Tribolium castaneum: one gene and its partners. The protein of the gene in region 4 binds, or shares a complex with, the protein of the main gene of each other region. Links are inferred from orthologs where the notes say so. Each region holds a gene or a part of one and is shown on either strand. Other genes may lie near its edges.

Evidence for each region.
Region 1: 116 kDa U5 small nuclear ribonucleoprotein component (region 4) and SNRPG share a complex: the UniProt entries of both Homo sapiens proteins name them as parts of the minor spliceosome. The link is inferred for Tribolium castaneum from reciprocal best matches to the Homo sapiens genes EFTUD2 and SNRPG.
Region 2: 116 kDa U5 small nuclear ribonucleoprotein component (region 4) and cysteine-rich PDZ-binding protein share a complex: the UniProt entries of both Homo sapiens proteins name them as parts of the minor spliceosome. The link is inferred for Tribolium castaneum from reciprocal best matches to the Homo sapiens genes EFTUD2 and CRIPT.
Region 3: 116 kDa U5 small nuclear ribonucleoprotein component (region 4) and Sf3b5 share a complex: the UniProt entries of both Homo sapiens proteins name them as parts of the minor spliceosome. The link is inferred for Tribolium castaneum from reciprocal best matches to the Homo sapiens genes EFTUD2 and SF3B5.
Region 5: 116 kDa U5 small nuclear ribonucleoprotein component (region 4) and Srrm1 share a complex: the UniProt entries of both Homo sapiens proteins name them as parts of the minor spliceosome. The link is inferred for Tribolium castaneum from reciprocal best matches to the Homo sapiens genes EFTUD2 and SRRM1.
Region 6: 116 kDa U5 small nuclear ribonucleoprotein component (region 4) and RNA-binding motif protein, X-linked 2 share a complex: the UniProt entries of both Homo sapiens proteins name them as parts of the minor spliceosome. The link is inferred for Tribolium castaneum from reciprocal best matches to the Homo sapiens genes EFTUD2 and RBMX2.
Region 7: 116 kDa U5 small nuclear ribonucleoprotein component (region 4) and Tango4 share a complex: the UniProt entries of both Homo sapiens proteins name them as parts of the minor spliceosome. The link is inferred for Tribolium castaneum from reciprocal best matches to the Homo sapiens genes EFTUD2 and PLRG1.

What each region holds. Positions count from the first base shown.
Region 1 is NC_087395.1:18,416,666-18,418,805, reverse strand, and holds SNRPG (probable small nuclear ribonucleoprotein G), read right to left. Parts: upstream 1,014-2,140; 5' UTR 886-1,013; coding exon 854-885; intron 809-853; coding exon 661-808; intron 606-660; coding exon 555-605; 3' UTR 501-554; downstream 1-500. Other genes in the region: zinc finger Ran-binding domain-containing protein 2, read left to right, coding at 1,370-2,050. UniProt on the Homo sapiens protein: Plays a role in pre-mRNA splicing as a core component of the spliceosomal U1, U2, U4 and U5 small nuclear ribonucleoproteins (snRNPs), the building blocks of the spliceosome.
Region 2 is NC_087394.1:8,405,410-8,408,049, reverse strand, and holds cysteine-rich PDZ-binding protein, read right to left. Parts: upstream 1,155-2,640; 5' UTR 1,038-1,154; coding exon 865-1,037; intron 807-864; coding exon 677-806; 3' UTR 501-676; downstream 1-500. Other genes in the region: Noc1 (CCAAT/enhancer-binding protein zeta), read right to left, coding at 1,260-1,627, 1,675-1,803. UniProt on the Homo sapiens protein: As a component of the minor spliceosome, involved in the splicing of U12-type introns in pre-mRNAs. Involved in the cytoskeletal anchoring of DLG4 in excitatory synapses.
Region 3 is NC_087396.1:17,669,865-17,672,196, reverse strand, and holds Sf3b5 (splicing factor 3B subunit 5), read right to left. Parts: upstream 972-2,332; 5' UTR 848-971; intron 794-847; 5' UTR 792-793; coding exon 534-791; 3' UTR 501-533; downstream 1-500. UniProt on the Homo sapiens protein: Component of the 17S U2 SnRNP complex of the spliceosome, a large ribonucleoprotein complex that removes introns from transcribed pre-mRNAs.
Region 4 is NC_087401.1:10,799,871-10,804,004, reverse strand, and holds the start of 116 kDa U5 small nuclear ribonucleoprotein component, read right to left. Parts: upstream 2,801-4,134; 5' UTR 2,454-2,800; coding exon 2,337-2,453; intron 2,290-2,336; coding exon 2,069-2,289; intron 2,019-2,068; coding exon 1,750-2,018; intron 1-1,749. UniProt on the Homo sapiens protein: Required for pre-mRNA splicing as component of the spliceosome, including pre-catalytic, catalytic and post-catalytic spliceosomal complexes. Component of the U5 snRNP and the U4/U6-U5 tri-snRNP complex, a building block of the spliceosome.
Region 5 is NC_087398.1:3,112,118-3,116,109, reverse strand, and holds the start of Srrm1 (serine/arginine repetitive matrix protein 1), read right to left. Parts: upstream 2,801-3,992; 5' UTR 2,505-2,800; coding exon 2,490-2,504; intron 2,393-2,489; coding exon 2,303-2,392; intron 2,253-2,302; coding exon 2,130-2,252; intron 2,081-2,129; coding exon 1,910-2,080; intron 1,859-1,909; coding exon 1,521-1,858; intron 261-1,520; coding exon 1-260. UniProt on the Homo sapiens protein: Part of pre- and post-splicing multiprotein mRNP complexes. As a component of the minor spliceosome, involved in the splicing of U12-type introns in pre-mRNAs. Involved in numerous pre-mRNA processing events.
Region 6 is NC_087396.1:22,565,046-22,567,810, forward strand, and holds RNA-binding motif protein, X-linked 2, read right to left. Parts: upstream 1,640-2,765; 5' UTR 1,501-1,639; coding exon 1,487-1,500; intron 1,438-1,486; coding exon 651-1,437; 3' UTR 647-650; downstream 1-646. Other genes in the region: mitochondrial tRNA-specific 2-thiouridylase 1, read left to right, coding at 53-646; TBC1 domain family member 31, read right to left, coding at 1,765-2,387, 2,435-2,765. UniProt on the Homo sapiens protein: Involved in pre-mRNA splicing as component of the activated spliceosome. As a component of the minor spliceosome, involved in the splicing of U12-type introns in pre-mRNAs.
Region 7 is NC_087397.1:4,268,902-4,272,634, forward strand, and holds Tango4 (pleiotropic regulator 1), read right to left. Parts: upstream 2,321-3,733; 5' UTR 2,208-2,320; intron 2,157-2,207; 5' UTR 2,125-2,156; coding exon 2,009-2,124; intron 1,957-2,008; coding exon 1,599-1,956; intron 1,552-1,598; coding exon 1,052-1,551; intron 1,005-1,051; coding exon 803-1,004; intron 752-802; coding exon 560-751; 3' UTR 501-559; downstream 1-500. Other genes in the region: Tbcb (tubulin-folding cofactor B), read left to right, coding at 1-104, 152-269; uncharacterized protein LOC656577, read right to left, coding at 2,703-3,635. UniProt on the Homo sapiens protein: Involved in pre-mRNA splicing as component of the spliceosome. Component of the PRP19-CDC5L complex that forms an integral part of the spliceosome and is required for activating pre-mRNA splicing.

The DNA of each region.
Region 1 (2,140 bases), on a different chromosome or scaffold from region 4:
ACTAATTAAAGCGAAATCTTATAGGGCAATACATTTCAGCGTGTTCCTTTGACCTAGTCAAGGGTGGTTGCTTTAAGACTGTTCCTCAAAAAACTCATTTTCCAAGGAAATGACATTAAAATCGAGTGGGTGTTAATTTCGATCCGGATGTTTTCCCGGAAAAACTGTCAATGGGGGCAATACCTGACGCTGATTGTGATGTGGCTCTGGAAAACTCGTCACTACACGAAAATTTTCACTGGAACGTCGCCGCCGAGACGCTTTAATGCCAAACTAGCGAACGTTTCCAATATTTTCCCGACGGTGGAACAGTGGCGGCGCGCATGCGACATTCTCTAAGCTTTTCATACACTGTTACGGACAAACCGCTCGAGGAAAACAATACGAATTGAATTTCTTTGTGAATGAACGCACAAAAGCGACGACGATAATGCTTTCCCTCCTATTACCCTAATTCACTTATTTCCACCCTACCCCAAGCCCAATAAAAGAAAACTCGGTCAGAATCGAACGCTTTTATTACAAATAATTATCGATTAAGCCAAAATTACAAACTAAATCCTATCTAGAGCCTCCAACATGACGATACTGTTTCCCCGGATCACCTGTAATAAACATAACCTCAAATTTCAAATCCACACTAATTCAAAAGAAACGTACCACCATCCCTATATTGTTTTTCTTGCCATCCCGGCACTCTTCCACACTCTCGTCCACCACTAGATTCATAAAAGGGTCGAAACCGCGCAAAATACCAACGACTTGTCGGCCCCCATTCAACTTCAAACACAATTTTTTGTCCATAAATCTGCAAAAAAACTAGTAATACGTTCTACGACAAAACAAGACTCACTTTTTCAATTCCGGAGGATGTGCTTTCGACATTTTGTGTACTTTTTTGAGTTTTTAAAATTTAAAACGCTCTTCAAACGCTTGACACAAACTGACAGATTTGACAGTTGCTAAGTACAGGGCATGATCAGTTGTCCCAATTTTTTCACATTTTTAACGTATAGTTAATGCAAAAAATTAAACAAAACAAGTCATTGGTTTTGGTGATAACTGTAATCAGAAATCGGTAAGTGTTGCGTTGAAATAAGGCAATTGTTGTTTTGGTGATCGTGTCCTGATTGGTGTGGGCAACGTTTGGCGTCGAAAATCCCTCTGTGCTAGTGACATTTCGGTGCATCTTCGGTTTGACGTTACTTTTTTATCAACAAATTTGTTGGAATAACCGCTGGAAAAAGGTTCAGTAAAGGTAAAAGCAGTACCAGTACCGCCAGATGTTAACATTTGCTCCTCCGTTCCCTCTAGTAGTGCTCCTTCTAGCCACTACTCTTTACGCCTTTTCTAGTCTAGTATCGCCCCCATGGAAGAGGCCGAAGTGACACCGCCCCCGCCGCCGTCGCTGAAAAGCCCGTCGGCGTCGAACGAGGGAGACTGGACGTGTCCGGACTGCGGTAACGTAAATTTCGCCCGCCGTAACAACTGTAACCGTTGTTACAAAAGTCGGGGGCCGGTGTCGGCGAAAAAGCGCAAATTGGGGCACGAGATCGGTAAAGCGGCGGCAGAGAAAAGTCGCGGGTTGTTTAGTGCCGACGATTGGCAGTGTAACAAATGCGGTAACGTGAATTGGGCGCGGAGGCAGCAGTGTAACGTTTGTAACGCCCCCAAGTTTGGGGAGGTGGAGGAGAGGACGGGGTTCGGTGGGGGGTATAACGACAGGGGGGTGGTCGAGTATAAGGAGCACGAGTCTGACGACGAATATGACGAGTTCGGGAGGAGGAAAAAGAAGAAAAGTGAGGAGGTGAAGGAGATGAAAAATAGTGTAGATAAGGTGGAGAAGAAGGTTGAGGAGGAAGAAGAGGAGGAGCAGGAGGAGGACGAGGAGGAGGATGACGACGACGGAGACTTATCGAAATATGATCTGTCGGATTGGGGGGATTCAGGGGAATCGAATAGTAAACAAAATAACTCAAGATCTAAGTCGAGGTCACGGTCTCCACAACACGAAAAAAAAAAGTCATTAGTCGAGTCGAAATTTTTATAGACATTTAGGTGAATAAATCTGCTTTGTATGGTGGTAAATTCGAGTTAGGTATACACAATAAACCATTACTTTTATTGGTGCCTGATTTAC
Region 2 (2,640 bases), on a different chromosome or scaffold from region 4:
AAACTGAATAAAATTAAACGGCAGTATTGTGTAAGTGTATGGATAAAACGTCACCAACAAAAAATATAATCACTGAGATAAGTAATTACTGCAAGGTGGAAAACAAAGAGGTTTGTCTGATTCATTGAATTTTGTTACGACTTCGTCACGTTTTTTTTATATACAGGGAAGTGAATTTTTAAAATCCAATCGCTGAAATTCATTTCTAAAAGGTTATATACAGTGTAGCCACTTTTAGAAGTATTTAATAATACGACAGACATCAATTTTTTCAATTATTTTTTTAGTGCAATAAGACAAAATCGTATTTTAACTTTGTGGAAATAATATTACAGGTACAGTTTTTTAGTTTATAAAAAAGTCCAAATAATAATTCTAGAATATTTGATAGTTGCGTTTTAATAATGTATAGTCAACCTTAATAACAAAAAAGAAATAGGGATAGAATAGGTAGAAATGAATTAATAAGTTAAAAATGTTATCATAAAAATGAAATAAAAAACTTTTGTCATAAGTTATTAAATATAATTACACACCTTATCATTCAAGATAATTAAATTGTCGTACACTCACTGTATACAGACAGAAAACCTAACAGTACCTACAAAACAATGCAAATTGCTCTAAAACTTAGAATAGGCTTAATTTTGTTTAAAAGTAACACACAAAATGTAGTTCAAGTTGACGATTGTTTGTAATTCTTCGTACTCAACAATTTCTTACCACACATCGCACAAATTCCTTTTTTATAAGCACAGGACTGGCAATAATGTGACCCAACCTGGTGCACCTTTTGCCTACATATTCTACAATAAAAACATGAGAAGAGTAAATCAATTTTAAGGATTACTTGCATTAACAAACCTGCAAGTCTCAAAACTGGACGTGTATGGATTAAATCTGTTTTTGCTAGCTGTTAAAGCCTTGTTTTCGTTAACTTTCCTACCCCCTGACTCAGTTGTATTTCTAGCCCCACTTTTCCAAGGATCTGGTGTTATCACTTTGCCCAACTTCTTTTGGCATTTTTCGCACACCATTTTCACAAAACACGATAATTATTGTGAATTTGGTACGAAATTGTAAACACGAAGATAATAAACAGAACGTACTGTTAAACGTCACGAAAAGTTAGGTTATGGGTTATGTGTAGTTGTATATTCGCGAAATACAACCAACACGAATTAAATAAAACACAAAACTGGTGGATTCGTAAAGAATTATATTAATTAAAATGCAATCGACTGCTTCCTTGTCGATTATTAATTCTTCCTCTTCTTTGCCTTATTATTAAATTTATTTGGACCTTTCCTTTTCTTGCCAAAATTGCTACCTTTACTATTTTTCTTTTTGCCAACTACTTCATCAAATCCCTTCAACCACCTATTTCTACTCTGTTCCCAGGCAAGTTGTTTAGTGCTCGCATTATCCTTATTTGATAACGCATTTGAACTTCCTGGGGCTATTTTCGAACTACCTTCATCGTCAAGCAATGAGGCAAATTCTTCAGCTGATGCAAATATTGAGTTTGTGTCTTTGGATTTTTTCTTCTTTGATTTTGCTGACTTCGGTTCTTCATCGTCAAAAACAACTTCCTCGTCTTCATCGTCGTCTAAGTCACCCAGAAGCACTGCAAGCAAAGGATAATTTTGTGTTTTATTATTACAAAAAATATACTTTTGTCATCATCGTTCATTTCAAGGTCATCTTCATCGAAATCTTCATCTTCGTCCATTGACAATTCTTCGTCAGAAGCATCCTCCATCTCGCTATCATCGTCATCACTATCATCATCATCTGTCCGTTCTGGAAAACAGAGCAAAATACATTTTGAAATTAAGTTGGCAACACTTATTTTTATTATTGGTACTATAAATTGTAGGTGAAATTTAAAAATCGAGTACAAAAATTAACGTTTAGATTTGATAGTTATTGTGGCCAACTTAGATTTAAAATCATTGATCACTCAGATTATTATTATTTTTGTAAACTTAATCTACAACAAACTTAGGCATTTCTGTCTGGTTTCCAGCGTTTGCTAATAAATATTTAATTTTTTTTATCTATGTAATTCTTTTCAAAATTTTTCTACAATTCTTTTCTACAAATTAGCAGTTGTCAGCAAAATATACTTTTTTATATTAATTATGAATCTTAATCTGTTCTATAATTATTCTTTCCAATAAATACGTGTACTCAAGCTTCTGAGGTAGAAAAAGAATTCATTAAAATTAACAAAGTAATTAATATAGAAAAAAAGATTTTTGTTATTAATAATGTTGTTCCGGTCATTAAATTAAATTAAATATTTAGACTTCCTCAACCTACTTGATATAACATACACAATAATTTGAAAAAGTATATTTTGAGTTACCGAACATTCGTGTTTTCAAAAAAAAAAACTAAAAAAAAATTTAAAATTAAAATTTAAAGGTAAGTTCAGAAAATATGTTTTAATATATTTTGTGCGGTGCAAACATTTTTTTTTATTACTTCTTATAACATTCTAAGACAACAAATGCTTAAAAGTTGATTTGTGCAAAAGATACATAAAAAATTGTTGCTAACTCAAAGTGTGAATGGTGTGGAAAAAAATTCAACGTAAAAAAGCTAATTTCGGTCCAATTTGTTACCAATTATTCG
Region 3 (2,332 bases), on a different chromosome or scaffold from region 4:
TATTGTCACTATAATTGGTAAATAAAAAATAAATATATTGAAAATCTGTTTTTTTTTTATAAAAATGCAGCGAACTAAAGCTAAGAATATTCTCTTAAAGTCATAAATTATTGTACTAGAAAAAATTATATTCCTAATAAGGGTAATAAATAAATACATTTTTAAATGCCCTTCCACTACCTTTAGAAATTTTCCTCCATGTTTTTATTAAAGAACTTGAAACACTATTTAATTTCCAAAACTTTTTATTCGATTAAGGAATACATATCTTCGGAATGATTTTAGTGATATCTTGCCTATGTAATACAGTAATACCTATTTAAATGTAAGTTAATTTTGCGGCGTGTGTGGAATACTCTATTAGTGCAATTAGTATTGACACAAATAAAGTAGGTATTCTATTCTAATAAAGGCGAAATGAAATACAAAGTAGACCTTTCGGCTACAATTATTTTAGTTATCGGAAGAATTCTAAAATGGTCTTTTAAAAAAAACAACGATTATATGAAAATTTTTATTGACTTTACTATAATCTAATCCTCGGGTTTATCTGGAGGTGGACCACACGGTTGAAGCATTTTCTCCATTAGATTAAACCTAACTCGGGCTTTTGCCTCGTTCTCACAAATCGCAAAATAATTTAACAAATCGTGGTGCCCCAAATAACTGGCGTAACTGTCTCTATGCTGGTTCAGCAGCCATTCGTATTTCGTTATTTCAGAGTGGCCTGTTCCGATATATTTCGATTGGAGATGCTCCAACTGGCTGTGGATGTTGTAGCGGTCGCCCATTACTTTTACAAATTGCAGTAAATTACGAAATAGAGACACACAAAGAAGAAACACACTTTTGTTTTGATGCTCCTAAGTTCACCTAACCTCGAACTCAACTCACTACTCATTAGTGTTAAATGTTAGGGTTGCCACTGTTGTTCGGCAGCAAAAAAGTCCCTAGGTTTTTATTCCTCTCGCTAACATTTATTATACAGGGTGTGTTGTATTTCTGAAATTTTCTTTAGGTGCCACCAAAAATGCTATACTATTTTCACTTGAATAACGCGCAATTGTAAATATGAGCCTTAAAAATCCTTCGTTTTGTAGTGTAACAGGATAGTGGTCAGTCTCTCTATTATTATATTATATTTTTCGTTTATAATACACGTGTATTAACATATATCAGTAGGAGTCGTTTATGGCTATTAAAGTACAGTGTACTTTAATGAATTTAGGGATATTTAGTTTTCAAGAGTTTCATCGATAATGCGTGGAATACACGTACGATCGATTTAATCATCATTTCTTCTTTATTTATTATTTATTACCGTCACCAACTGACACGAAATTCCCTAGACGACAAAAAAATTTAATTAAAATAAGAAAAAATCATAAAAACATTCTCGTTTTATAAGGGTTTTGGCGCACTCATCCCATAGAAAACTTGTTTTTAAATATACTATTATTTATTATTATATTATGTTATGCTAGTTTTTATACTTAGTAATTTTTTACGTATATAGACATTATGTGTTTATTTGGTCAGTTTTTAACTGTTTTGAGAAAAAAGGAGACGAACTGAAAAAATGGGGAAAAATACGTATATTATTAGCTGTCTCAAAACTATAAAAACGCTAACGTCGCATTTTCTCTCAAAATTAGCTATTATAAATTATTCATGCACTTCAAAAAAATAATAACTAATGTAATTTATAGTTTCAATAAGAGATTTAATCAATAATAACTATTTCATATTTTTATCAATCTTATTTAAAAATAAAATCGGTAAAATGCAACGTTGGCGTTTTTATAAATTTGAAACAGCTAACAGACATTTTTTTGTGGAAAAAAATTCTTGAGGCCATATTTCAGCCGCTCACGCTAAATTTGTTTAAACCTAATAAATGGTTAATGATAGAAATATGATATGGCAGACTTTCTCGGAAAAAAGCATTCTATACACTTTTTTCAACCATATTTGCAGCGTTTTAAAAAATATGGTGAAAGTTTGCTTTTTTTAATATTGTTTATGATAATTTTTGTGCTTTTATTTCTTGCCATCGAAAATGTAGGCCCACTTTCATAATCGAATTTAACGGAGCATTAAATTAAATGTTTTTTGGAATGTGTGAAAGATTTGTGAAAAATAAACATCTACTTTAATGCTCTTTTAAACCCGATTATGAATGTGGCCCTAAATGCTCTATCAGCCTGTAGTTTTTGTTTGCGTTATACTTATCGTAATTTAAATATAACCATTTTTTATCAGGAATAACTGCCCCAGATCAAACAACCAGTGTCATGAATAATATATTTCTAGAAAATTTTTACACAATTAT
Region 4 (4,134 bases):
TTTGTATGGATCTAATTTAGTGTTTTATCATTATTATAAAAGAATTGTTTTTATATAAGTACTCAAACAATCAATCACACAATTTTTTTGACAAATTTTCCTGAAATAATGTTGAGAAACGTGCTATAACTTCCGAAAACGCAAAAAATTTTTCAACACAGTCTTAGTGATTTTCGAATCAAACTTGGCTAAATAATTGCGTTTCTGGATTAAAAAGCTAGAAATACGCAAAAAATACCTTGATTTTTGATACAAATTAATTATTTTTCATGTTTATTTTTGAGATATTTCACACAATAATAACATTTTGAACAATAAAAGATGCTAAAGCACCAGAAGACAGTAAAACTAATGTTATATTCGACCTGATTTCACGAAATTTTGAACAGAAATTATTAATTTTCAATAGGTCAAGTTTAGTGATTTGTTTATTTAAAGTTACACGCTCAAAAAATGCAAAATATAAGCTATTATTTTAACTTATTTTGTGTTTTCTTGGTGGGATTTAGCAAATTAACACCTTGATGATGAAAATTTTGATCTGGTTTTAACAAAAGGTGTTCTAACCCAAACACACGTAAGTGGTCAAGAAAAACTTTTTAAATTTGTAAATGTGCTTATCTATATACTGACCCCACCTGACTGATTTTTTTGAGAAATTATTACATTTTTGGGCCAAAAACGCGCACACACTTTTTTAAAAGGTAAAAAAAAACTCTATTACTTCTAAATTTTGAACAACGTATTATTTCTGGCTGAAAAACTTGCCAAAACAATTTTATTTTCGGCCCAATTTTTGGGTTTATTGCGCTATAAATTTAGGAGACAATTGCTTTGCTGGTTGAAAACTAGTTTACTCGTTGCTAAAACAATCTAAAAGAAGCGTAAATATTTTTGTTGTGTGTTTTTCATAAAATCTTAGAAAAATGTAAATACTAATAAGAACACATCTATAATTTACATAAAAACCGGCAATAAAAAGAAAGTCTTTACAGTGTAAAATAGTAAAGTTTTGTCAAAATGCACTTAAACGCTCAAAAAGTTAATTTTTTTATTTCATTTGCTACTTCTTTTTTAACGAAATACCTTTGAGAAACGTGCTGCAAAAAAAAATTTGATTTTTCAACACAGTTTTAGCAAAAAATGTTTTACTTATTTAACAACTTAGTGAAATAATCTCGTTGGATTAAAATCGTCCTAATACTCGCAAAAATACCAAAAATTGTGTATTTTTCGACCCAATTTAGTCATTTTCTATTCTAGTTCTAGGGAAATCTCGTAAGAAGATTGAGTTTTTAGCACAAAAACGCGCTTAAACCCCAAAAAACTGCTGTATTTTACGTATTTTTTTGTAATTTTTGAGAAAACCTTATGAAATAAATAGCGTTTCTAGCTTTAAAAAATGCCCTAAAATTCTCGAATCAGGCAAAAGTTACATCTTTTTGACTTTATTTAGTGATTTCTCAAACTACTCGAATCGAAATCTCGGAGAAACACTAAATTTTTACTCAAAAAAATATGAAATCAAAATATAGTTGTTTTTCTGTCTGAAAAAATAATCTAAAATGTTACAAAAAAGGCAAAACAGCATTATTTTCAACCACTTTTCATGATTTGCTGGTCGTCACTTCAGAAGTGTGCGTTTGAGAAATGCAAAAATCGCCACACTTTTTACGTAATCTGGTGATTTGTCGACGAATTTTTGCCGAAACATCGCGTCTAAAGGAGGATTAATTATTGAGTTATTACCAGGAGTGTCAAAAATGTTCATTAGGTAACTCTTGTTCTTAACGTCCTGCAAAAGTAGCGTAATTGGGATCGACTTGATCGAGCAGCCCCTTTCCTGCTCCGTGAACAAAGTGTCGGTATATCTCAAATTTTTCTCTTCATAGTCCTGATACCCTGGATGCGTTTGCCGAATCAAACAATCAACAAACGTGGTTTTACCATGATGTAAGTGCCCAATCAAGGCCACGTTACGTATCAGCGACGTATTGTCCATCATATCGGCCAAAAACCTACCAAAAAGTGAAATTATTTTTACCCCTACTTTCACCCAAATAATTACTCCATATTGTACGTCGTATCGGGCAAATCCTGCTCCTTCAACTGAAACTTCTTTTTCTTCACCGGTTCGATCAAAGGCACGTCAAGGGGCTGCGCGTCCTCCTCTTGCACAATAGTCTCCACATCAGGCCCATAGACTTGTAAAGCAGACGGGTAGTATTGCTTGTCCTCGTGCAAGACAATGGCCATGGGTTGGGGCTCACTCTCGTCCATTTGCTCGTCCTGAAAGGGGACAATAAGGGGGCTTCTGGGGACCTCGAGACACTCACATCGTAGTCTTGCTGCTCCTCGTCTTCCTGGGGCTCGGGCTCCTCGTCCTCGTCGTCATCGCTGTCCAGCTCAGGCCCGATGTAATTACCGAACTCGTCGTACAAATCCGCGTCCATGTTCTGGCTTTTGGGGCCCTAAACACGACTCGACATAACCCCAAAAAACAGCAAAAACGGTAAAATCCACACGACCGGAGCACAAAAAACGATGATTCGAGTGGTTTTTGGGACAAATTTGCCACTTTTTGCACGATTTTTGTGAAAAAACGTTGCAAAACGTTAACAAACGAGTCACAGGTTAGGTTGTTGTTGCCGGGAGTTACCAACCATGCGGCCACAAAAAATAAACTCCCTGGACTCACTACATAATTCAAGCCAATTTTATTAATTAATTGAAACAATCACAACCAAATTGTTAGTCGCGACGTTTGGTTTAATTGATAACAGTATCACATCAATTAATTGACAGGAATTATTACCAAGTTGGTCAACCGTTCCGCTAGATGGCGCCCAATCGGCAAATATTGATTTTGGGCCTAAAAATAGACAAATGGAGCAAGGGGGCCTCTTATCTATTTATAAGCCGCTTTGCTTCAGTTTACAGAACAAGACGTTCGTTATTGTTCGTTTTATGGCCAATCGTTTGTCTTTTGTTCACCTTGTCGGGGTCCATGGCCTGCTTAGACGTGACGTAATTGTCACTAGTTTTTCCATTTACCGGCAATGGCGGGGTCAAGTTCACCCGAGGCCAACTACCGTCTTATTGTTACCATAACAACACTATCAAATTCAAGGTTGTAATAATAATAGTATGAGGACTGAGGAGGTATGGAAAAAGCAACAAAACCTCCTAAACCGTTACTGACGCCCCTTTTGTCACCATTGGTCGGGGTTCCCCCCGTTTGAGAGTTACCACGGCGTGATTGGTCGCGCTTAGCGTGGGGGCGTGGCCGGTGTCACACCGTTCGGCCCGGCTTGGCTCCGATTGGCCGCGCCTGAAATAGGCAGGTCGGTGACTTTTAAACAAACTAACCTATTTTTTTAAGGGCAAATTAAGGGCCGTGTCGGGAAATTAACATCAGAGGCGGCTTTGGCACAAAAAGGACGTTTTATTTGTGGTAAAATTTCTGTTTTTAGGAGGCGTTTTAATTGTTTAATATTGTTGTTAATTGACTGTCGTTTGTTAGTCGCGGCCGCCTTGATCGGGTCGCAAATTGTGGTGGTTGTGCCCGATTGTGGCGTTTTTTTCCCAGTTTTGTGCGATGTGGCAACGCCGCACAAGCACTTTCGACAATTCCCGGCTAAAATCGAGTTTATGTGATTATGTGTGAATCATTGAAGTTGGCCGTGATGCCACGTCACAGTTGGCGTCTCTCTCGCACTCGTGTGACGTTTGTGACGATTTCGAGGTCTATATATAGCACAATGTGGAACTAAACTGTTTAATATTTATGTAGAATATTTTAAGCAGACGATGTGATGGTGTTTTGTTTTGTTCGACGGTCAAGTAGGTCGTGGACGCGAGTTGCAATCATTACGAAATGTCACAATGTAATCAAGTTGGCAGGAGATAAAGTCGATTGTTATTTGTTGATTTGATTGTTTTATTGGGGGCACTCCCACTCCCCCCACTTGTTTTAATTGGGTGCCGAGGCTGGGAGAGTGAGATGAAGTGTTGGTGGCGTTTAGGTCATCTTTTTTTAATCGTGTCGGAGATTAGAGCGGAGATTAGAGGGTGAAGTGAGATAAGAAGACGGGTTTGAGTGTGCGAGACAGCGGCGGCTCGTGAATAAATTTA
Region 5 (3,992 bases), on a different chromosome or scaffold from region 4:
TGGAGCGGGAGCGACGTTTCTCCTTGTCCTTGGAGAGGGAGCGCGACTTGCGATCCTTTGATGCTCGTGGACTAGACGACGAACGGGATCTCGAATGCGATTTGCTGGGTGACTTGGAGCGTGAAGCCGACTTTGAACGGGAGCGAGATACTGATTTCGAACGGGAACGGGAGTTACGCTGCTGTTGCTGCTGTTTGCCGTTGCCGCCGGCCATGGACATCAGCTTCGCTTGAAGCTTTGACACGGGCTGGGAACTCTCTCTAGACAGTAAAGCCAACGTTAAACCTGCCCACATCGTTTGCAAAACGGGCAACAAAAATAATGGAATCAAGACGAAGCCAACGATGCATTTTGATTACACAAAATGTCCGAACAAACATTAAATACATCGGTACAACCCATCACATACAAAAAAAAGGTAACGCTATTATTTAAACTGTTATTCTTCCTTACAAGTGGTTTTTAATTTTTGTAATTATTTTATACAATGGACGATAAAGTTTTATAAAACCAATAAGACTGAGGTATTTATTTATAGCCATAATATAGTTTATATAACTGACTTTTTTTAATAAAAGTGCTTGGACGCAAGCTAAGACAAAAAAACTTTAAAAATGTTTTCTTGGCAAAGAAGAACACCGGGAAATAAAACTTCTAATACAAATATAAAAAATCTATTAATAAATTCGTGTTTACCAGGCACTGGCACGATAATGATTAGTGTGAAAAAAAAAACAAAATAAAAAGTGATAAATACCAACGTAATTTTGTAATAAAAATAACATTTATTTTAATACATAATTAAAAAATGTTTTAATAAAGCTACAGAAAAAATATTGTACGTTACTCTTATGAAAACACAACGTATCACTCACCCACGTAATGCAACATATCGTTTTTAATCCTTGTAACGTAAATAACCGTTTGCATAATTTTTCGACGTAATTAAAAACAGATTACAAAAAACCTGTAAACTAATATCTATTCGAATAATTTTAAGAAAATTATTTGAATCACATAACAAAGTCAACTTGCTCACACAACTACGTCCATTTCCAATATAACGTTCCATCATTAGATGATTAAAGCTGCATCATCAATGCATGTTGACAAAGAATGGTTTTTATTAAATACATACAAAATCACAAAAATTAATCCACAATTATTTTAATACGTTAACAAATAAAAATAAAATCAATCCCAAAACGTGCCAAAATAGCGCAAACCTTAGAAAACTTATTAAACAAAAAATCCACGCAGTATTAAAATGTGCAAATTTTTTCACTTGCTTAAAATACTTTTAGCCAGTGATATAATCAAGAAAGAAACCAACTTTCTCTAACGTTCTTTATTTATTTATTCAACGAATTTTGCGCGTCATAAAAATAATAACCATTTTTAGCATCTTGCTGAAATTGTGTCGTAACACGAGTTACTGAAGCAATTTACAAAACTCACCACTTACCACAACGTGCAATTAATTTCCGCAACAAATTTAATCTATCAGTAAACAAACTTACGAATTATGTTTAGAATTGGCAGTACTGCTTTCCAATTTGGCAGAATCCTCTCTGCCATTATTCTCCCGTTCGTTGGGACTTGCGTTGCCGTTGTTCCTCAAATCATCAATCTTGATCCTGGATCTGGAACGGCTCCTTGACCTCTTGTCCTTCCCTCTATCGTTGTTCCTGCTGGACCTTTCAACCGACCGCCTCCTGGGCCGCGACCTTGACCGTGATCTCCTCCTAGACCTGGACCTGTCCCTATCCCTGTATTTCTTCTCCTTGTCGGACTTTTCGCGTTCGCGCTCTTTTTCTCTTTCCCGGTCCCGAATCTCACGCTCTTTTTCCTCTTTCTCCTAATATAACACAAGCGGTGATACCACCAAAAGTATGTAATTTATGCAAACCTTCTTTTTTATGATTTCTTCACGCTTCAAGTCCAAGAGTGAGTCGGGGATTCCGGACGGGTTCTCCTGTGCTGAGATCAAGAGCGCCCACAGCTCGGCCATGAACTCGCGCGCGTTTTTCCCATGCAGAAACCCCGTAAGATTGATTTGGATCTTTTTAGGATCGGGAAACTGCAACGTAAATATTTAAGCAAGCGAGTTTCAGTTGGCAATGTTGTACCTTCTCATCTAGTTGATTATAAACAAAATCGACGACGACGTCGTCATCAATTTTCAAGATTTCCGTTAATTTGTCTTGGATCCACGGCTTGATGACATCAAGTTTAATTTTGGACATATCAACCTGCAATTGAGCGCTGCTTTATCACGGTACCTACGCTTGGCTTAATTTACCCTCTGACTCAAACAATCGCTGAACTTCATCTGCTTCAGGAGCTTTTTTTCCTTATCGCTGAAGCGATTGTCTTGCTCGGTGGTTGTGCCCTGAAACGAGTTGTTTACAACAATAATCCCTTAAAATATTTGACAGTTCTATTAATAAACACCAAGGGGGGACGTAATCCACTTGCAAAAAACTCACCGTATACATCATCATAGAGTCCGGAAATGGTCCTTTCGTTGCAAACTAACAAAAACCACTCAAATTACTAAATCAAGAAACGAGGAACTGTAGCACAGACGCCGGTACTTGACTTCACGATATACACATAATTGAATTCTTCACATGATTTACTATAACACTAAACTACAGCGGTTAATGCAAACTCCCGATTAACGCGACTCACAATAAAAAAATCATCGTTTTTTACAATTAATCGCGCACTAAATTCTACAAATCCATGTTGCTTCCAACAAAATGGCGTGGCGTCATGGCGTCAAATTTGTTGATAATTCCAGATTCTGCCTTACCACCGCAGCTCTACCGCACCGACCGGGCCAAGCGCGACTTTAAAATCTGAGAACTCATTCAAACCTATTTTAATAAAAGCCGCTTTATCGCAAAACTACAACAACGCCCAACCACGTATTTTACTAAAAATGAGGCAAAAACGCTACTTTGTGCAAAAATAGCACACAAGAGCAGCCCAGTTGTAAAAAATAAAATTCCGGAAAAATTCCCAAATGAACTGCTTTTTGCCGGTCATTCACTCCCAATCAAACGCTCTAAACATAAAGTGCTAGTCAAAAAAACTGTTTTGTTCACGAAATCAAATCCCAATTGGTATTTTTCTTAGAACTCGAGAAACAAAGTTGTCTTCAGCACAACATAATTGGGGGCCCAGATGAGACAGGTAGCCTCCATTGAACCGTAATGGTCCGTCGACTATTAGCCAGTCATCTGTTATAATAGGAAAACAGGGTGTTCTCCCACTTAGCAACTGTTCTTGTTCTTTAATCCCTCCCAGGTACAACATTATATCATTTCCGTTTCACAAGTTCAAGAACAACCTGGTCTTCAGTCTACTGGCACACTTCAAAGAAATTATTTCGTGCAGCACCCGACCAAAGTGCACCAGTGACCACAGTGCCAGTTAGTGAAAAAATAAAGTAGAAAAAAGGTGGTTCAAATATGGATTGGCAATTTTGAGTGAAACGCACCGAAAATTATTGTTTGCTAGATTTGCAATTTTTCGAGTCTCATAAGTGCCAGAGTCAGGACAGGATGGCCATTAGCAAAAATACGGTTTTTGCGGTAAGTTTGCAGGGGCGCAGGGCTCAATTCGCGCGAGTATGTAGATTTACCGATATTCAAAATATTTGCCCTCTGCAGCCCACATAAACGCCGAAGAACAGTTATATGATGAGGTCAATGATCAGGTATCGCTTTGAGTAGGTACGTACTGGACAGGTGGTCAATGTAATGCACGGGACAGTGTCGGGTTTAGATGATTTTACCCATCATTGACGGTTTTTTGGAAAACCGGTGATGTCATCATCTTGTTGAGTATTTGGTCAGGTATTTCGTATTGTCTGAGATGACTAGCCTTCGGAATGAGGTTGAGATGGTAATTAAACGGTACTTTTCGTGATTAATTTTTAAAAGACCTACAGCCGAAGACGAAATTCATGTCACGAAGTTTCC
Region 6 (2,765 bases), on a different chromosome or scaffold from region 4:
TCATTGGTCAAAGAAGCTTTGCACTGGTCACTTGACTAAACATTTTTTTCAGTATATTGATGATAAACCGGGCGATTTCGTGGACGTTGACACTGCGAAAGTCGTGGGTCAACACAATGGGGTGCACCAGTGGACTTTGGGGCAAAGGGCGCGCCTCCACAGCTACGAAAGCCCTTATTTCGTGGCCCGGAAAGACGTAGACAAGAACATAATTTACGTAGTCAAAGGGACAAAACACCCGTTACTTTACACGAACATAATTTTGACCAGTGAGCCCCACTGGATCCACTCACAGCCCCCTGATTTACAAAACGGGGTTTTGGAGTGCGATTTCAAGTTCCAACACACCAAATATTGGGTCAAATGCCAGGTGTGCCAAACAAGTAAAGGACTGATTATTAAAGTGAATAGGTACAAGAGGGCCATCACTCCGGGACAGTTCGCTGTCTTGTCGAAAGATGGCGAGTGTCTCGGAGGGGCTCGAATAATTAACACGGGAGTTTCACACTTCTCGCTATATTATTTGGAGAATAATGGTCTAGGGAGTGTCTCCCACATTTTGAAAAAATATGTCAATGTGACGCAAGGTGAAGACGAGCTTACTGATAATGAAGATATGAAGCACAGAGCTGTAAATAGATGTTAGTAAATCAGCGCTTTTTCTTATTCGGACTCCGCGACCGCTTCCTCCTATCCTCGTCCTCTGACACGCTGTCTTCAGCGGAGTAATCCGACCCTGACTCGCCCTTCTTCTTCTTTTTCTTCTTCCTATCTGAATCGGATTCGCTGCTGTTTTCGTCCGACTTCTTTTTCTTCTTCTTCTTTTTCTCCTTCTTGTGTTTCTTTTCCTTCTTCTCTTTCGTGACAACAGGCTCCGGCGGCGCCTCCTCGTCCACTTTCTCCTTTTTTATCGTGTAAATGGGCAAGCGCTCAGGCAACTTGATCTCAGAATTAATCTGGTCGGCCAGTGTTTCGCGAAAATCGTCAGGGTCTGTTTTAATCTTCACTGGCGCTTTGACAGGAACTTGCACAGGGACGGCCTTGGGGGCACAGCCCTCATCGTACAGTTTCTTCGTCTCAGCGTCCGTTTTCTTGCCCTGTTTGGGCACCTTGTAGTTACTGACGTGGTCGACTCGTATCGTCCTGTTCAAGATTTTGATTCCGTTGAAATTATCAACGGCCAAGTCGGTCGATCTTTGGTCCTCGTAGCACAGGAAACAGAAGCCCTTTGACTTGCCCGAGTCCTTATCCCTGATCAGGTTTATGTTCACCACTTCGCCATACTGCGAGAAAATGCAAATTATGTCGCCCTCGGTCAGGTCGAAGGGCAAACCGCCGATGAAAACCCACGCACTGTCCCTGTATTGGTCATGCCAGGAGGTTTTATTACCGGTGTAGAGCTCCTGTTCGCTCAGTTTCTTCACATTTTTCATGTTCCTGGAAAGACAACTTCGCAAAATTGGGGCAAAAAATCGACAATACTTACGTTAACGGATTCATGGTGCGTGATTGTGGGGCCTCTGACCCCGAAAAACATGAACAAATACAAATAAAACAAATGTTCAAAAAATAGGTTAGGTATTTGACGTACGTTTGACGTTTGTGTTAATTGCGTTAAGGTGCATTCACACCGCGGCTGGAACTATTAAGGCGACTTCACATCGGTTTGTAAATTTATTGCCGTTTAAAAACATATCACAGGTGCATATGAGATCATAAAACGTATAAATAGAAACGATACAACTTATAATAAAATTGATTGTGCTATCCGCCCACTTCCTCACTCCTTAAATTGGCAAGTAGCTCGATTAAATTGGCAATTTTCAACGCCAACTCTTTGCTTTCCGCTTGCAGGGCGACAACGCGTCGATCGGCATCACTGTCACTCCCGCTCTTTTGTTTTTCCAGCTCACTTTCGACTTTTTCGATTAGAGCATCCATGGCTTCAAGCCCCGTTGTCAGATTTAACATCTTCAAATGTTTGCGGGGCTCTTCACTACTCCGCACAAAATTGATTTCGTTCGATAATTGTTCCTGTTGTTGATCAACTGATAGTTTTGTACTTGTGACAACTTCATCAGTGTTTAGTAACTTTTCGATTTTGTACTTGTTTTTCAAAAGTTCGGCATAGTGGAAGAGGAGTTCGTCCTCGGTCTTGGTCAAGGCGTAACCTTTCTCGCCTTTTCGGAACCTGACATCGTCCATAATCGACGATAGGTATTTTCGGCGGCTTTTCAATTGCTGTTCCTTCGCTATTTGGTGTCTTAAGGAGGCCAAAATTTTGTCTTCTTGGTGGAATTTTTCGCGCAGGTTGGCCACCCTTTCGTAGTACTCCTGGACACGGGTTTGCTCCTCCAACAATTGATTACGAATCGCGCGTTCCATTTCTGACAATTTATTTAATTAAAACCCCAAAAAATGTACAAAAACTTACCCAAAATTCGCTTATTCTCTTCTTCCTCCACTTCGAAATTTTGCAACCGCTCCAAACTAATCAATCGGCGTCTGAACAAATCAACCTCGTCTGTTTTCAACCCCGCCATCTCTCTCTTCATCTCGGCCTCTTTATCCGACATCTCGATCATGGTTTTGGGGTAATCACAAAAATTGGGGTATTCCCCCAAATTAATTTTCTTGAACATGTTCAAATATTGCCGTGGGTGCACGGCCTCGCCCGTCTTGGCCAAAATGTGGTAACTTTTCGTTAGCAATTTTTTAACATCTATGGGATGATGCGTTTTGTAAAAACACCGAAATTGTTTATC
Region 7 (3,733 bases), on a different chromosome or scaffold from region 4:
CCCTGCAGACTTGGCACTGTGATGTACACAGGGCCTGTTGAGACCTTACCTGGATATTGGATAGGGGTCAAGTATGACGAACCTTTGGGCAAAAACGATGGAACGTAAGTTACGACCATCAGTTGAAAAAAAATTCTAGCTTTTGTTGCAGATTTAAAGGCAAGAAATATTTTGAATGTGCTAATAATTATGGCGCCTTTGTTAAGCCACACAACGTTGAATGTGGCGACTTCCCTGAGGAAGATTACGACTTGAACGAGGAAATATGATTGGTAACAAGCATTCCAAATTCGCAAACGAATTAATTTATTGTTTTTATCAAATTAAAAATTATTTATCGTAGAGCATTTTAACCTTTACCCTCACGATTTTACATCTAGAAAATCGTAAGTTTTGTGCACTTCTGCGATTATTAATGGTCTAGAAATGTCAAATGGTTTGATTAATTTTCGGAAAATTTGATAAATAATGCAAAGTTGGGTAAAATTAAAACTTTTTAGTAGCTCATAAAATTTTATTTATTATTTTTATAAAAATACAAATTATTTTAATCATAGAATTAGAATTTCCTCCGTTTCAAAATATCGGGTTTCCAGTTAATCGGATGCGTTTCTTCAGTCGCAGTTTCATCCTCTTTGTAGATTTTGATGGTCTTGTCAGCTTCAGTTGTGATTAATCTTGAGCCAGAATTGTCGAAAATCATTGAGAATATTCCAGCTTCACTGTCCATTGACCCAGGTTGTACTGGGGCCTAAAAATGTAACATTAATCGATTGACTTCCTTCAAAGTTACAAAAATTACTTGTAATCTTTGGAAATTGTAACCGGTCCTCCAATCCCAGAAATGTAAAGTTCCATTATCGCCCCCTGAAACCAGGACGCCTTCTGGATTGACAGCGAGACAATTAACAATAGCATTATGACCGGACAAATTCTGTATGAATTTCCCGTCAGGACATTTCCACTGTTTTATGTTATCGGGTGAGCCCGACGCGAACATGTTCCTACAAATAATAAAATAATTACAAAAAAAATAATTAAACAATCGTACAAAGTCGGGTGGAGAATCACATCTCTAACGCTCTTTTTGTGATTGGTAAGCGTACAAATTGATTTCCCAGCTGCCAGGTCCCATAATCTGATTGTGGTATCATGAGATCCTGTGATAACTTGAGGTTCGGAGGCTTGCGCCACCACGCTAGCTACAGTATGCGTGTGGCCGGTCAAAGTGTGAACATTTGCTTTCGTCCTCATGTCCCAAACCCGGGCTGTTGAATCACGCCCTGCTGTTAATAAAACATCGATTGTGGGGTGAAGCGCTAGAGAGTATACAGCCGATAAATGGCCATGGTAATGTCTAATGACTTTGTTGTACTCCAAATCCCAACACTTGACCTGTCTGTCTTCACCGCAACTGAACAAATAAGGGTGTCTACTGCTCACAGCCAACCCTCTGACCGTGCTCACATGCCCAGTTAGGGACACTTTCAACTGCCCACTTGCCAGGTCCCAGATTTTTATTATTCGGTCCGCTGCGCCGGTCGCAAACCACTAACAAAAAAACGGTAACAAATTTGCTGCCAACAAAAATTTTATACCTCATTTCCTGGCTCCACCGAAACACACCTGACCCACCCCAAATGCCCCGCAATCACCCTGTATAGCTTCCAAGGGGCGTGCCATTTCGGCTTTGGCATTGTGGGGACTTTTTTCATTAAATTGGCGAGCTGGTTTTGTGTGTTATTTTGGACGCTTCGTGTCATCAAACTTGTGTCAGTGTACGGTACAACAGCCCCCTCGGTGTTTGGGGCCGCGTCGTCAGTGCGTGTGCCCGGTGGTGGGGGGTTTGGCCCAGCTTCTGCCTCCCGTAAGTGCTTCATAGCTTGCATTTTCTTAACGTCGTCAAAGACTAGGCCGTACAAGTCACGGGCTTTTATGGCTTTTCGCACCATTTCGCTATTTAATTCGTAATATTAAGGGCTGCTTGTTTTTGTGGTTTGTTACTCACGCTTTTTCGTCCACTGATGGCAGTAGTCCCTGGTTTGAGAGAAACATGTCGTGAGACCGTTTCAAGGAACGGAATACTAACGTATGTACGGAGTGTCTCTGCACGTCTTCGGTCATTGTGAAGACGAGTATTTAACTCCGGATATTTACTGAATTGTAATACTAGTAATTAATCTTCGGGTAAATAAACAAAATCGTACTTAACCTCTCTGCAAAAAATCACCAAATCCACCATTTGGTAACTTTTGGTTCGTAGAATAGACAGGAAAAGAAACTACTATTGACTCAACCGTGGAGGGAGTTTGAGTTTTTTTTTTTTTTAACCAAAAAATAGTTAATTTCCATACCAAATTGAATTGAATTTCTTATTTGGGTAGTTTTGGTCACAAAATAAAAGCACGCCAATTTTTTTAACATTTGTATTTTTCAACAATTATAAAAATAGATACGAGTTGTTTCACTTATAAATATTTCGTTATTAAGTCTACAATAAAATACATAGTTTTTTGACCACAAAACGCATCTAGTTTTTATCTGTACAAGTCCCAATGTCAACATTCCTGAGCCCAGATAAAAGCAATATTACACAAATTATTTACATTGTGAGTCGACTACAATAAAGTAGCTTTGCCTAGTGCCCCACTTTGCAGCGATGTGATTAAAAATGCAAACAGAATTATATAATGCAAAGAAACTTAATCCAACGGAGTGATCTTGACTGAAGATCCGCGAGATTTGCGATACCTTTGAAAGTCTCCTGCCTGGTAAGGTAATGCCCTCATATTACTTCTATAATATGGTACATCATACGGAGATATGTGTAATTGATTGATTGGTGGTGACCGATTTCGCCACAAAACCGCCAATAAAGAATAAAATCCACAAATGGTATTCGAAATTAAAGTCATAAAGTTGACAATAATTGGGGTGCAAACCCTGATAAGTCCTTGCGTTTCACGCAAAAGTTTCAGGAGATAGTCTAGAAGGTACTTGATGGTGTGTATCAAGAAAGTGATCAGTGTTGATAACAAAAGAACCATAAATATGGTGGCTTGTTTAATGTTGGGCCAAGTCAAGGTTTCAGTAAACAAGTTCCTCAACTGATCCTTGAAAAACTCCTGAAATTTTGCACCCAATTCACCCAAATTCTTCTGAGAAACGTCTTCAAAAATCTGAGTGGGAGTTATATTATGAACTGGAGTCTTCTCTCTGACTGGCCTCACAACTTCAAGCTTGACTCTAACTTCATTGTGGAAGAATTCAACGTTTTTGATTTTGTACCAAAAACTCCCAAAAACCTCTTCGTCCAGACTCACCCACAAATTGTAACCTGCCGGGGCCCCGATTGTTTTCGGCTCCGTGATACCAATCCACACATTTTTGGTAAAATGCTTCAAGCAGCGCTTCCTCACTGCTTTTAAATTCGCAATAAGGTCGTGTTCATCGTCGCATATTTTAATTACATCGCGGTACGAGTTCAAAGGTTCAACCAGCCTTTTTTCCAGAAACGTACCGATAAATAGGGAGCTCTTGAGCATGTGTTTTGCAAATTTGCGCACTCTTGTCTCCTCGTCATCGTCGGAAAGGCTTGCAGACGAATTTCGGCTGATTTCACTGATTTTTGTCATTTTTTACAACTGGGGTCTTGACGTGTTTCTAAGAACTGTTACGTAAGAACTACATTTGTGTACTTCCCCCAGTTACTTACGGGTGCTGAGTTGTCCAA